3 linked regions of the Drosophila melanogaster genome follow. The protein of the gene in region 2 interacts with the protein of the main gene of each other region in a pairwise test. Each region holds a gene or a part of one and is shown on either strand. Other genes may lie near its edges. The genes, in order: Sap-r, Nup133 and slam.

The links.
Region 1: the proteins of Nup133 (region 2) and Sap-r interact in a two-hybrid assay, tested with the Drosophila melanogaster proteins (one large-scale study listed by BioGRID).
Region 3: the proteins of Nup133 (region 2) and slam interact in a two-hybrid assay, tested with the Drosophila melanogaster proteins (one large-scale study listed by BioGRID).

Annotation. Positions count from the first base shown.
Region 1 is NT_033777.3:30,887,287-30,891,040, reverse strand, and holds the start of Sap-r (Saposin-related), read left to right. Parts: upstream 1-1,978; 5' UTR 1,979-2,107; coding exon 2,108-2,156; intron 2,157-2,214; exon of another isoform or gene 2,215-2,301; coding exon 2,302-2,380; intron 2,381-3,754.
Region 2 is NT_033777.3:22,688,503-22,692,256, forward strand, and holds the start of Nup133 (nucleoporin 133kD), read left to right. Parts: upstream 1-2,104; 5' UTR 2,105-2,197; coding exon 2,198-2,373; intron 2,374-2,428; coding exon 2,429-2,603; intron 2,604-2,663; coding exon 2,664-3,167; intron 3,168-3,218; coding exon 3,219-3,531; intron 3,532-3,586; coding exon 3,587-3,754. Other genes in the region: wfs1 (wolfram syndrome 1), read right to left, coding at 1-1,515, 1,573-1,671, 1,731-1,794. UniProt on the Drosophila melanogaster protein: Probable component of the nuclear pore complex (NPC). Plays a role in NPC assembly and/or maintenance.
Region 3 is NT_033779.5:6,370,326-6,374,079, forward strand, and holds the start of slam (slow as molasses), read left to right. Parts: upstream 1-2,062; 5' UTR 2,063-2,256; intron 2,257-2,970; 5' UTR 2,971-3,251; coding exon 3,252-3,754.

The sequences.
Region 1 (3,754 bases), 8.2 Mb from region 2:
AGCGGTCTTTTAGCCCCTCGATAAGGTCAAGTTCATTTCCGCATGGTGAGGCAGTAGTTAGTGAGCTACGTTCTCTGATCTCCGAAAAGCGACTACCCCAAAGTAACTGTTTCGGAGTTTCAGGCGGATTTCATGGATAGGGAAAGGGAAATTGCCCAAGAGGTCAGCCAAAGTGGCCATAAACAATTAGCCATTAGACGGGCCTTATGTGACGCACTTGGCAATCGCGGCAATTAGAGTTGTTACCAATCTCTCCGCGGGTCACTCAACACAAAATGTATCTCGAGCCTCGATTTTATCTGCCAGCGTGTGAACTGCCGGAAATTTCACTCTTGTGGATGGATGCATTTAATTCTTTCCGAACCTGATTTTTGACCAAGTTAATTGGGAGGGAATAAAAGGCGTACTTTGTACTTTGTCCGACTATAACTTGGCTTGGCTGAATTCAAAGACCCAAACAAGCAGTCGCTTCTAGAGTAAACAAATTTATGAATGACATAAAAAAGCGGATAAAAGCAGAAAATTATCTCGCTCTTGAAACTCCGAAATTAAACGTTAGTCCAATGATTTACTGCTTCACTTATAAGCGTGTTAATTGCCTAAATTTCCTTCACTGCTGAACTTGATTACTTGTTCTTTGGCGGCGGTCCACTCAATTGCCATAATATCAATCTCGCAGCCAGACTTCAAGTGTCAAGTGCAGTGTCTGGCTGCAATTAACCCTCTACTACCCCATGGTACCTCGCCTAAGGTCACATAAACCTTAAATTCAATTCCTATTTAATCGAGTGCAATTTAATATTTCCACAATTTTTGGTTCTAAGTACCAAGTATTTCAGCAAGGTCTCAGTGGGTTAATCTCCGTCAAAGAACCGAAATGCACGGCAGGCGTTGCAATCCACGGTCAACACGACAGGTTTCAGGTTTCCTTCTAAGCCCCTGAACAGCCAAATCGTTGGTTTTGACACAGATATAGCCATGTTATGGCCGTATTGGCCGGATCGGCGCTTGCATTTGGCATTTCGTTGGGCAAACACCACCAGATGACCTCGACTTTCAATCGCTGTGAGAATGTGTCTGGCATTCTTTGCGAATGTATCTTCAGACGATTCTCACACAGATCTTGATACGCACCTCGGAATCGAGAATTACACGCCGATAGGCATCGCGAGAAAAATCTACTAGCCGGCCATTACGAGTGAGATGCATTTTCCCCAACATTTATGCCTGCGAGCTTTACATCTGGGCAGGCTCACATCAATTAACCCGCAATTACAATAGAATTTAATCATGTGCCTGCCAGTTCACGTCGCACAGTTGGCCAAGTTGGCCAAAGGGGGGTTAAGCGATGGGGCTGGGCAAAAAGGGGCGTATTAATAACCGCGCTAAGTTCAAGAACATCGCTGATGGTTATTGTCATAGTTTCGTCGCGGCAATATGTAATTAAATCTGCGGATTGCAATCGATTATAAATACATTGTGAGGCATTTGCGGGTGGCGAAGGCTTTGTTTGTTGATTGAGTGAGTGATTTAATAAATTGTTCCGACTTTAGGAGCAATAATTTTCTTCTACGATAATTGAAGTTATAATTTGAAGGACAACGTATTCAAGTACTCCATGTACTTAACACCCTATAGAAAGGTGGCCCAAATCTAATAGTTTCATATCGGTTACTTAATTGTTTATTATACCATTTTAAGTTTAATGATTTGCTGACCCCATTTTATGATAGCTTCCTCGGAGGTTTTTATGGCTTTTTGAAAGGCAAAAACAGATCTCTGTTATTAACAGAGTGCGGTTCGAGTCCATGCTCCCCCCTGATTGCTAAGTATACACTGGGTTGGTTTTATGCTAAAAGCATTATCCAAGTCTTGCTCCATAAGTATCGTTAAATAAATTTAACAATAATTCAATCGCTGACTGGTCGCACTATTATATCGCTACGGTATATATTTGACGAAACAGACGGCGGCCACACTACAGACAAATAAAAAATTGAACCAATCGTTGCAATTGCACTTCAGTTTTCGTTCAGAAATAAATACGTAGCTGCAAATAGAGGACTATCTCCGCCGACATTTAAGAAGTACAGTTAAAACCGGGAAAATGGAGAGAGCAGGCCTCTTGGCCGTTTTGGCACTGTGCTGCGCCTTTGGTGAGTGGAGAAGAGATGGAGAGAAGTGCGAAAAGCGACGTTGAAAGGGAACCACAATAATAGTTTAGTCATAGCTTATTGCGTATTCGTGCTGTGCACTCTGTTCCTCAACCGTTGCTCTCTTTGTTTGTTTGCTTTCTTGCAGGCGTCTTCGCCGCTGCCACGCCCCTTTTGGGCTCCAGCAAGTGCACCTGGGGACCCTCCTACTGGTGCGGAAATTTCAGGTGAGTGCAAAAAAGTGGGTGATACAATAAACGGTATATTCGGATAAATCGCTTGGTCATCGAACACCACAAAGTTCTCGAAGGCGAAAAGCTAACCTCTCTTAACCCCCCTCCAAATAGCGATATTACTTCTCCGCCTCACTTGCCCATTGTTTGCAGCGAAGACTCGTCTGTTCTGTTTTGTTCTCGGCCGATAAGACTATCACTCGAATCGGGAATCGAATCACTTTGCTCTACATAGCTCTATTCGCCGATAACCCCTGTTATTGCAAACTTAACACTAGTGCCGCTCTAATTGCGTCCCCTTATTTTGCGTTGTATTGTTTTACAGACTCGATGTTTTCTCTGAGTGCACTTTTCGCAATACTCTCTGCCTTCATATCCCATATTTCTGGATTTCCTTTGTCTGCACATTCGCTGTACAAATCAAATTAACAGTACCGCCAGTCGGAACATTTAGACGGCAGAGTTAAGCGCTCGTAGGGGGCACAACTTTATCGACACCGATTATATGCATGAGTAATCCAGAGGAGCAGATCGTTTTGACACAGCTCCCTTTTCTGTGCACCGCCAAACAAACCACATGATTGCTTTGTTTATCATTGTTAATTCGCTGTAGGCGGCAACAGTTGTTCCTTATCAACGAATTCTGACTAATCCCTCAGGCGTATGATGAGTACAGGGGAACATCCGAAAGTGCAACTTCTAAGCCTTAACACAATCACAATGCACTTGAAACCCTTATCTTAGCCATACTCACAATTGTAAATTCCTCAATGGAGTGATATTACATTGCGGCCACAAAGGATCACCTTACAGAAGCTATACTGTACGTACATATGTATGTATGTTACACCAAGATAAACTTGAAAACATTTACATGGACTGCATCATTAATAGAGTAAAAGCGATCAATAGGCAACTGAAAACATTTGTTAAGCACCCATCCATCGCTTATCGCTAGTCGTAATTCCTTTGTTTATTGATTGATTTATTTTTAAATGGCCAGGAAAATCCGCCATTTCTGGCTCTTAACCGTTTCTTTGTTTCTCAATTGCAGAGTGTCAAAAATTAAAAACGTCGCCATTGCTGTTGAAAATTCAGAAAACAATATCTGTGAATGCGCAGCCAAGTGAATAATATATACGTGGATACGTCCAGATATATCATTCATACATATGTACTGTTTATTTCCGTGCTTATCAGTGCTGATTTTTTGCTATTTAGACGCTTTTGTTTGGTATTCCTGGCGATTCCACCGCAGGCGTCTCTTCATGTTAATGGAAATTAGCACTTTCCGTTCGAATCAGTCAAATCGATTTATATTGAACAAATATAGGGTTACTTTCCATCAAAGTGTTGTGCTTTAAATGC
Region 2 (3,754 bases):
AGGACAGGACCACTACCAGCCCGCAGGCGAGAGCTGTGCTGCCCCACCGAAGCTGCTCACTAGCCAGTCCTAAACTATCGATGGCCACGAAGACAGGCACCAGAAGTGCCACGATTCCGAACAGAGGCAGGAACAGGACGATTCCAGCCAAGCCGAGGGCTGCTCGCATCACTCCAAAAACGGTGGAACTCTGCGAGGTGGCTATGCACACTTGCAGCCAACTGAGCGTGACGCAGTGCGGGATGAGGAATGTGTAGACTCCATGCCAACGGGAGCGTTTGGCCATCATAATTAGCAGCACCGGAATAAAGAGATACAAGGCAGTGCGGCAATTCAAACAGAATTCAATGCCATTGCCAATGACAAACGATGAGAAAGTAGGTACGCGTAGGTCAAGAAAGCGCCAGCGCGTAGACACAACCTCGTCCATTTCGTACGGATATTTGGCAAGAACATTTACGGCAAAGGAAACAATCACTAGCCAGTCAGGCAGTTGGTGGGAGGAGGCGTACATGGACACGCACATGGTGATGAAGGTCAAGGCTCCAGAGATTATAGTCAGCTCCGAGTGTGGCAGCCAGGCGTCTGTGACCAACGGGTAGACAATCAGGTTGCAAATGAAGGCACAAAAGAAGTACAGGTACGGCTTCATATTGTTGCGTAAAAAGCGATGCTCCGCAATGTCCGCCTCGATGTTCTGATCCCCGTAGCTCAGGAACAGTCCCGACCAGATGCGAAAGTCCACGAACTGTTGTTTGGTTTTCAGCATCTTACACGTGGCCCAGATCATGATGCCCAGACTGAGATAATAGCTGACCAGGGGCAGCATATGCCGGCTGCTCCACCAAGAGATTGCAACGAGCACGCTGCAGCGCACGCTCAGAGGGATGACGTTGGGTATGGACACAATCAAGTTAAGCAGCCGGTGGTAGAACAGGGTGAAGAAGATAAGCGGGTGGAAGATCATGCGGTAGAAGCAGGGTACATGGTCCAAGCTCCTAGGATCCGGGACGGATAATGTGAGAGCATCATTAACGCTGGGCATTTGTCCGGCACTGTAATTGGAAGCTGCCGAAACGAGGTGAGCTTCGGTGATGAGGCGGCGTCGCTCCACATTGGCTAGGTCAATGGTGGGCACATCTTCGAGCGGTTCGCACTCCGGCTCCTGCTCGCCCTCGCTGCTCGACGAGGAGCGGTCATCATCGCGTCGACGCCGCTTGCGTTGCAGATTGTAGATGCGCCGCATTTTGCGCTCCAGCTGCTTGGGCGTTATATGCTCGTTTCCATTTGATAGGCAGGCAAAAAGCTCCCGGGCTGCTTTTCTGGCAGCCCGCTCACCAGGCGTCATAGCCAGGCAGCGACGCACTTCGTCCGTATTCTCTGCCGTAATACCGCTGCCATCGTTGTAGCACTGGCGTAGCAGCTTGACTGCATCCTCGTGTCCATTGTGTGCTGCACTCACCAGCCAGTTGACGGCCTTCTGGCTCTGATTGCCTTTGGCAAGATTGGGCTCTACTGCGGACATAGCAATCTTCATTATCTTGTAATTCTCGAGCAAATCCTTACACTCACCTATGGAATTATCGAGTAACTCTTTGGCCAGATCGTATTGCATCTGGGGGCATCCCTCCTCGGCGATGTGATGCTTAAGTTTGTTCAAGGAGGCACGATCTGTAAGGGAAAACATCTTCACTTTATGAACGTGTATCAATCAAAGCTCAGAGATTTACCTTCCAGATTCCAACGCCTGCGCTTGGTGACACCTGTCGGCTCATTTTGCGTCCAGGTGGCCATCTATGTCGAGTTTTTCGCTTTGTTTACGAAAATCTATGAAATAATTCTAGTCTTGACTTAGCGATGGCATCGTGTAGAACTTGTCTTAGAGATGGACTCACAAATATTAGTTAATATAATTATTAATTTAAAAATTTGTTTACCAAAGTTTAATTATTCATCGTATATAGTATATAAAATACATTTATGTAGTATAAATAATTTCCTATATTTAAATTTGTGTTCTTTGTGTATAATGTCGTGACTTCTAATCGATAAATAACTCAAATGTACTCAGCTGTGATTTCGATATTGCGACATCAAAAATCGATTCACACACATGCCGGCTAGATTGTTTGCTGTTGCAAAAGTAGTTGTTTATTTTTGATTTATAGGCATTTCCCAAATAAGAGCCAGCACAAAAATGGAGAGAAATCTGCAGAAGCAATTATACGGCATATCGCGCGAATCTTCACCAGGTGCACGAAGGTACAGCATGCCAGCAGCCTCGGCAGACAGCACGCGTAAATCAATTTTTGGCGGCAGCGCCAGTTGCGCCCAGATGTCGGGGAGCCTCAAAAGGACTGCCCTGACCAACAGGTATGTGCTAACTTATTCTCCTGGAATTTCCCACTCATCAAACAATCCTTTTCAGCCGGCTCAGCTTGTCGGTGCGTTCCACTCAGTCCATTGCCGGCATCCGATCCGATTACAATTCGGTAGAGAGCTTCGGTTGTCCACTGCCGGTGGTGGTCAATGAGGCACTAACCTTCGCAGGTCCAGGAGCGGGCACAGTAACAGCCAAAGTGACGCAAAACGGTTGGGCTTGGGTAATATATCAGCAACTCTCATTGTATCTGGTTCAGCAATCAGTACGATTACCTTTTCAGGTTGTCCAAGGCAGACGCCTCTTGATTTGGCAGTATAAGGACACGGCCAAGTCGGGCTCGCCACCTCGTGTGGGCAAACTGGCAAGACGTGGTGGTGGTCTGGCCCAGTGCCGTGAATTGACTTTACCTTACAGTGACCTGGGTCACAAGAGTGATTTAATCAGTGTTTTCCAGACGGAGGGTCAGCAAATGGCCTCCTGCATAGCGGTATCAGCCACGGGAGAAGTTCGGTACTGGTCATCGATTGCGCACGATGGGAACTCCGTGGATCTTTCCATCTTAACTGGCCAAGAGTTTGTCCAGCTGCTCAGTCTACCAACGCAGCAGGGCTACCTAGCCGTTACAACCACCTGCAATCTGGTATTCCTGCGAGTCGGACTGACCAACGGACGTTACACACTTCACCATAAGACTATCAAGCCTGCCACTAGCTTCCTTGGTGGTTTTGGCAAAAAGTTTGCCTCCATTTTGATTGGAATGAACACGGGTGCAGACAAGGATCAAGTAAGTATCTTCGTCCAGCATGGGACAAAAATCTCATGAAGTGTTTTTTAGACTTTGGTCGGCATGTGCTGCGAGAGCAATTTAGAAAGTGGAGAAACCATTGTGGCCGTGCTCTCTGATCGTGCAATCCAGCGCTGGAGTCTGTCCAACAATGGCAACACCGAAAACCTTCTGTACGAGGATGCGGATATGTTGCGCAGGATACGCGAAGAGTTTATAACGAACTTTTGGAAGTTCCGACTCCCAGCGGATAGTTTGGAGATCGATCTCCATCTGTTGGACTTTCACGTGGTTAAGAACAAAGCTTATATACTGGCTGGAGCTGTGAATGCTGCTCACGCTCCACAAATGTGCTACGCTCTGGGTAAGAAGTATGTGACAGCAAATCTTGATATGGTATATAATGTTAAGTATTTTAGTGACTGGCACTGCTCAAGCTGAAAGAATGCTTCTGGAATCGTTCACGCCGCTCAATATGAACAAATTCTTTAGTGCCAAGACTGAGGAGGATTGCCTCAGCGTGCGTTTTGTAGTAGGCAGCAGCCACATCTATTTGTATACTTCTAAAGTTGTGTATCCTCTGCACT
Region 3 (3,754 bases), on a different chromosome or scaffold from region 2:
GCACTGAAAAAATAGGGGGGTAGGTACTCACACCTACGCAGAGGAAATAAAGAAAATGGGATGCTTCCTTCAGTCGAAATATTTAACAGTGTGAGCGAGAACCTTTTTAAAAGTACAAAATGTTTCGACTCTGTTTGTGCACCTTGAACTTTTGCCGATTTCCTCTGCCGAAGAGCTCACGTGTGCTTTTCCTTGCTTGCCCACGGTGCGTATGTGTTACCCGGCGTGCTTTTATTTATTTGCTAATTAACACCCATCCTGCGCGGAGCAGACGGCAGCCCAGAGGGCGACGACCATCCAGAATCCGACTTAGATTCCAAATCCCGGCCCCAAGTCGGTGGTTGCACTGTGCAACTTGTTGAAGGTCGTCGCGCAAATCGCTCATACGCCGCGTGGGTCTTGAAGGCGCGTGGCAAGCGGTCGGTTTCGCCTGGCAACCGCATTAATGGGCCATTAACAACCTGCCGGGATGATAGCGCGTGAGCCGCGTGTCAAACAGCGGTCAGCCCCAAATCGTGGTTGTTTCCGATGAATGGGCGACCGTACGTTTGTCTTTGCCCCACAAATGGACTAGAAACGGGAAACTTGAATTGATTCTGCGATAAAGAACGTATGCCTCGAGACACTCGAGCTACTCATGTGAAATGGGGTGTGGGGCTCAGTCATCTAAATCAATATTCTGCGGTTCCAATTTGGTATGTTTCAGATTATTTTCTAGTTTCTTGTGAGTCAGCAAAATGTAAAGGATAAACACATCTTTAGCAGTCTGAATTCCAGAGCTCATCCAACGCGGCTACATTATGCTGAGTGTGGGCTATTGCGATATGGCCAGCAGTTCCTCTTTCCGTCGAACGGCTTATCAGTGCTGAATTTCATTCATTCATGTAATTCAAAGCGGCTGTGCATTATATTTGGGCTGGCTTATAATTAGTTTTAAAATAAACCGCTTGGCCAGCGGAACGCGGAAAGCCGAGTGACGCAATCGGAGCAGCGAATTGCGAATGGTGTGGTGTTAGTCGGAAGCCAGCAACAAACTCGCTGCTTCTGATCGCCACGGCGGTGCTCCACTCGGCTCGGCTGAGGTTCGTTCCTTGACCCCCGGATTCCGGCGGTCTTGCCCGCCACTCGGGGTTCCATGTCACGTGCGCTCGCTCGGCGGAGTAAGTATGTATGTATGTATGTGGGTCTGTGCGGAATTGATTGATTTGCCAGCGAAGGTGGCGCACTGGAAGACAGACAGACAGACAGACTGACAGACGGACGGACGGACTGATAGGGCTGATGAAATTACAAGTCGCGCATCGTCATTCAGACCGATTGTGGGCATGTTATGCGAGTAAACGGATTTTGCGGCAATGAAATAATTGCCAACATTACAGAACTGGTAGTGTCTAATTAACCCGCACTGATAAAGCGGGGTACATGCCGCCGCTCAGATTTTCAAAATTGCATGGCCCTGCATTGAGTGCCCAAAATCTGAAACCAAATATTCGCGTTCCGGTGTCGCCGACAGAAGCGGTGGCTACTTAGCAAGTGGAACCACTGCGTCCCCGTCCATTCCAGTTGGATATGGAACGCCAGCCACATGAGTTTATCATAAAGCACCCACTAAATTTTTGCCGCTGCTGTTGGCGACCACAATGTTTGTAAATGTTTTTCACCGTCGAATGGTATTTCGGGGATTGCTTTGTTTGTCATTTGGGGTATTTGCCAACTGACCAACTACTGTCCATCTGAATGATTTTGGTGTGCCTCTTTTGGCTTAAATAGCAATATATTCAGATACCAATAAAGGCACGTCTGATAGAATTCAGGCCACGGGAGCAATCCGTTTGAATTTATCGTATCATTGAGTTGTAAGCCGTTTTGGCCGTTAATAGCCATCGAATTCTCATATCTTCACTGGTCTGCCTAGAATATAAGTTATTGACATTCTAATCATTTTCTTGAGCCCATGATGATATTTAAAGTCTAGATTAGTTTACGGTTTAAAAAGCACTGAGCTTTGATGCTGATTCAATCAGCTGATTCTTAATTCGTGGTGATTGGCTTTATTATCAGCTGTGATATTCCGTAAAGCCGGCAAATGAGCCCTTAGATCGATGTAAATGTACTATGTTATTTGGCGCAAATAACCACGCTTTTTCGCGGTCTTTTGTTTACAAAATTAATTTGTAATTTGTTTATGAAGTTGTGCGTGTTAAATACTGTGTTGCCTAAAGTAGATCATAGTTCAACAAGGAAATCCTTAACAAAGTAAGTTAACTAATTTATATAAATAGCCGGCCTGTTTTAGAAAGCCCAAAAAAGGGTTAGAGAACGCTTTTGTCTTGAAAATTTGGAATATTTGGAAAGTATACCCTTCCCATGTAAACAACTTCAGCTTTGTGATAAAAAAATAGGCACTCCGTTTTGCTAAAAGTAAAAAAGCGCATTAAAACCAAAAATTAAAGATAAAATCGTTAAATATCAGGCAGTTAAAAGATGTATCCCATTATGGAACTTATCATTGTAGCTCTGTAACTCATCAGCTCCAGCTCTGCCACCTGAGCATCCGCAAATCTCAGCCCCTGATTTCATTTTATGGCTCTGTCGGTGTGAAAGTCACTTTGTGGCAAACTGCAAGCAAAGTTCTGCTTATCCCTGGGGTCCTGAATTCGGTTCGTTTTCGCTCCAAATTTCAGCAATAGTCAGATGAAGAATTTTCAGTGTGTGATTTTTATTGTGGCTGCAATTCGCCTGGGTCTTGTTAACATTCGCATTTTTCTCGGAAAATTCGTTCGGTTGCAGTATAATGATGATGCTGGGAGTTGATTTCGCTGAGTTACTGCAATAATTGGAATTTAAATTTTAAGGACTTTCCGTCAGCTGTCTTTCGAGTGAATCCTCGGTTATCCCTTCTTTCCAGAACCTTACATTTTACATCTATTGCACAGCCCTAATATTACCTACCTGTTTTCTTTGTTTCAGGTCACCTGGATATATATTTATAGCGGAAAGGTTCGCGAAAATAATTAAATATCGGTTAGCGCGAGGAAAATCCATCGATCCGACAGCTGCGGCTGTTAATCTTACCTGATCGCTGCTAGTTGGATTAAGGAAAATCTGAGGCAGTGGGTGGGCAATAAAATCTGCACCCAATCCATATTTTACCTGATCATTGTATATAAGCTATTAGCAAAATGCCAGAAAGCCACAGTTACAAACTGAAACGTCTAACGTCAACAACAAGACAGCAAACTAATACCAAAATGGTCCTAAGCAATTCCACGCCGAACAACCAGTCCAAGCACAACCAGATGGTAGTGGACACGGCAGCCATGAACAGTGATGATCTCAGCGAGCTACTGCAGCTGAACGCGGAGATCGAGGAACGTCGTCGCTCCAGCCGCCACGGAGATGCCAGCACCGCCTGTGGCCTGCTCCGAGCTACGATGACCAGGGAGGAACTCTTCGAGATTTCCTCGCTGGATGATGATCGCTTCCTGACCGCCCTGGAGTACCAAAACTCGTTTGCATCACCGCGCCGAGTGCAGGTTACCGACCTGGACTTGTCCAGCATCGAGAATCTGATGAAGTACTTCGACGAAGAGGTACCTGTGACGCCAACAAAGACACTGGGTACCACCAAGGCAGCGGGTAACACGGGTAAAGTGGCCAGCACAATTGCCAAGTTGGCCCTCCAGTCGGATCCGGTCACGCCGCCCAAGCCAAAAGTGGGTAGTGGCCACCTAAAGATCAGCGAGCTCAAGCA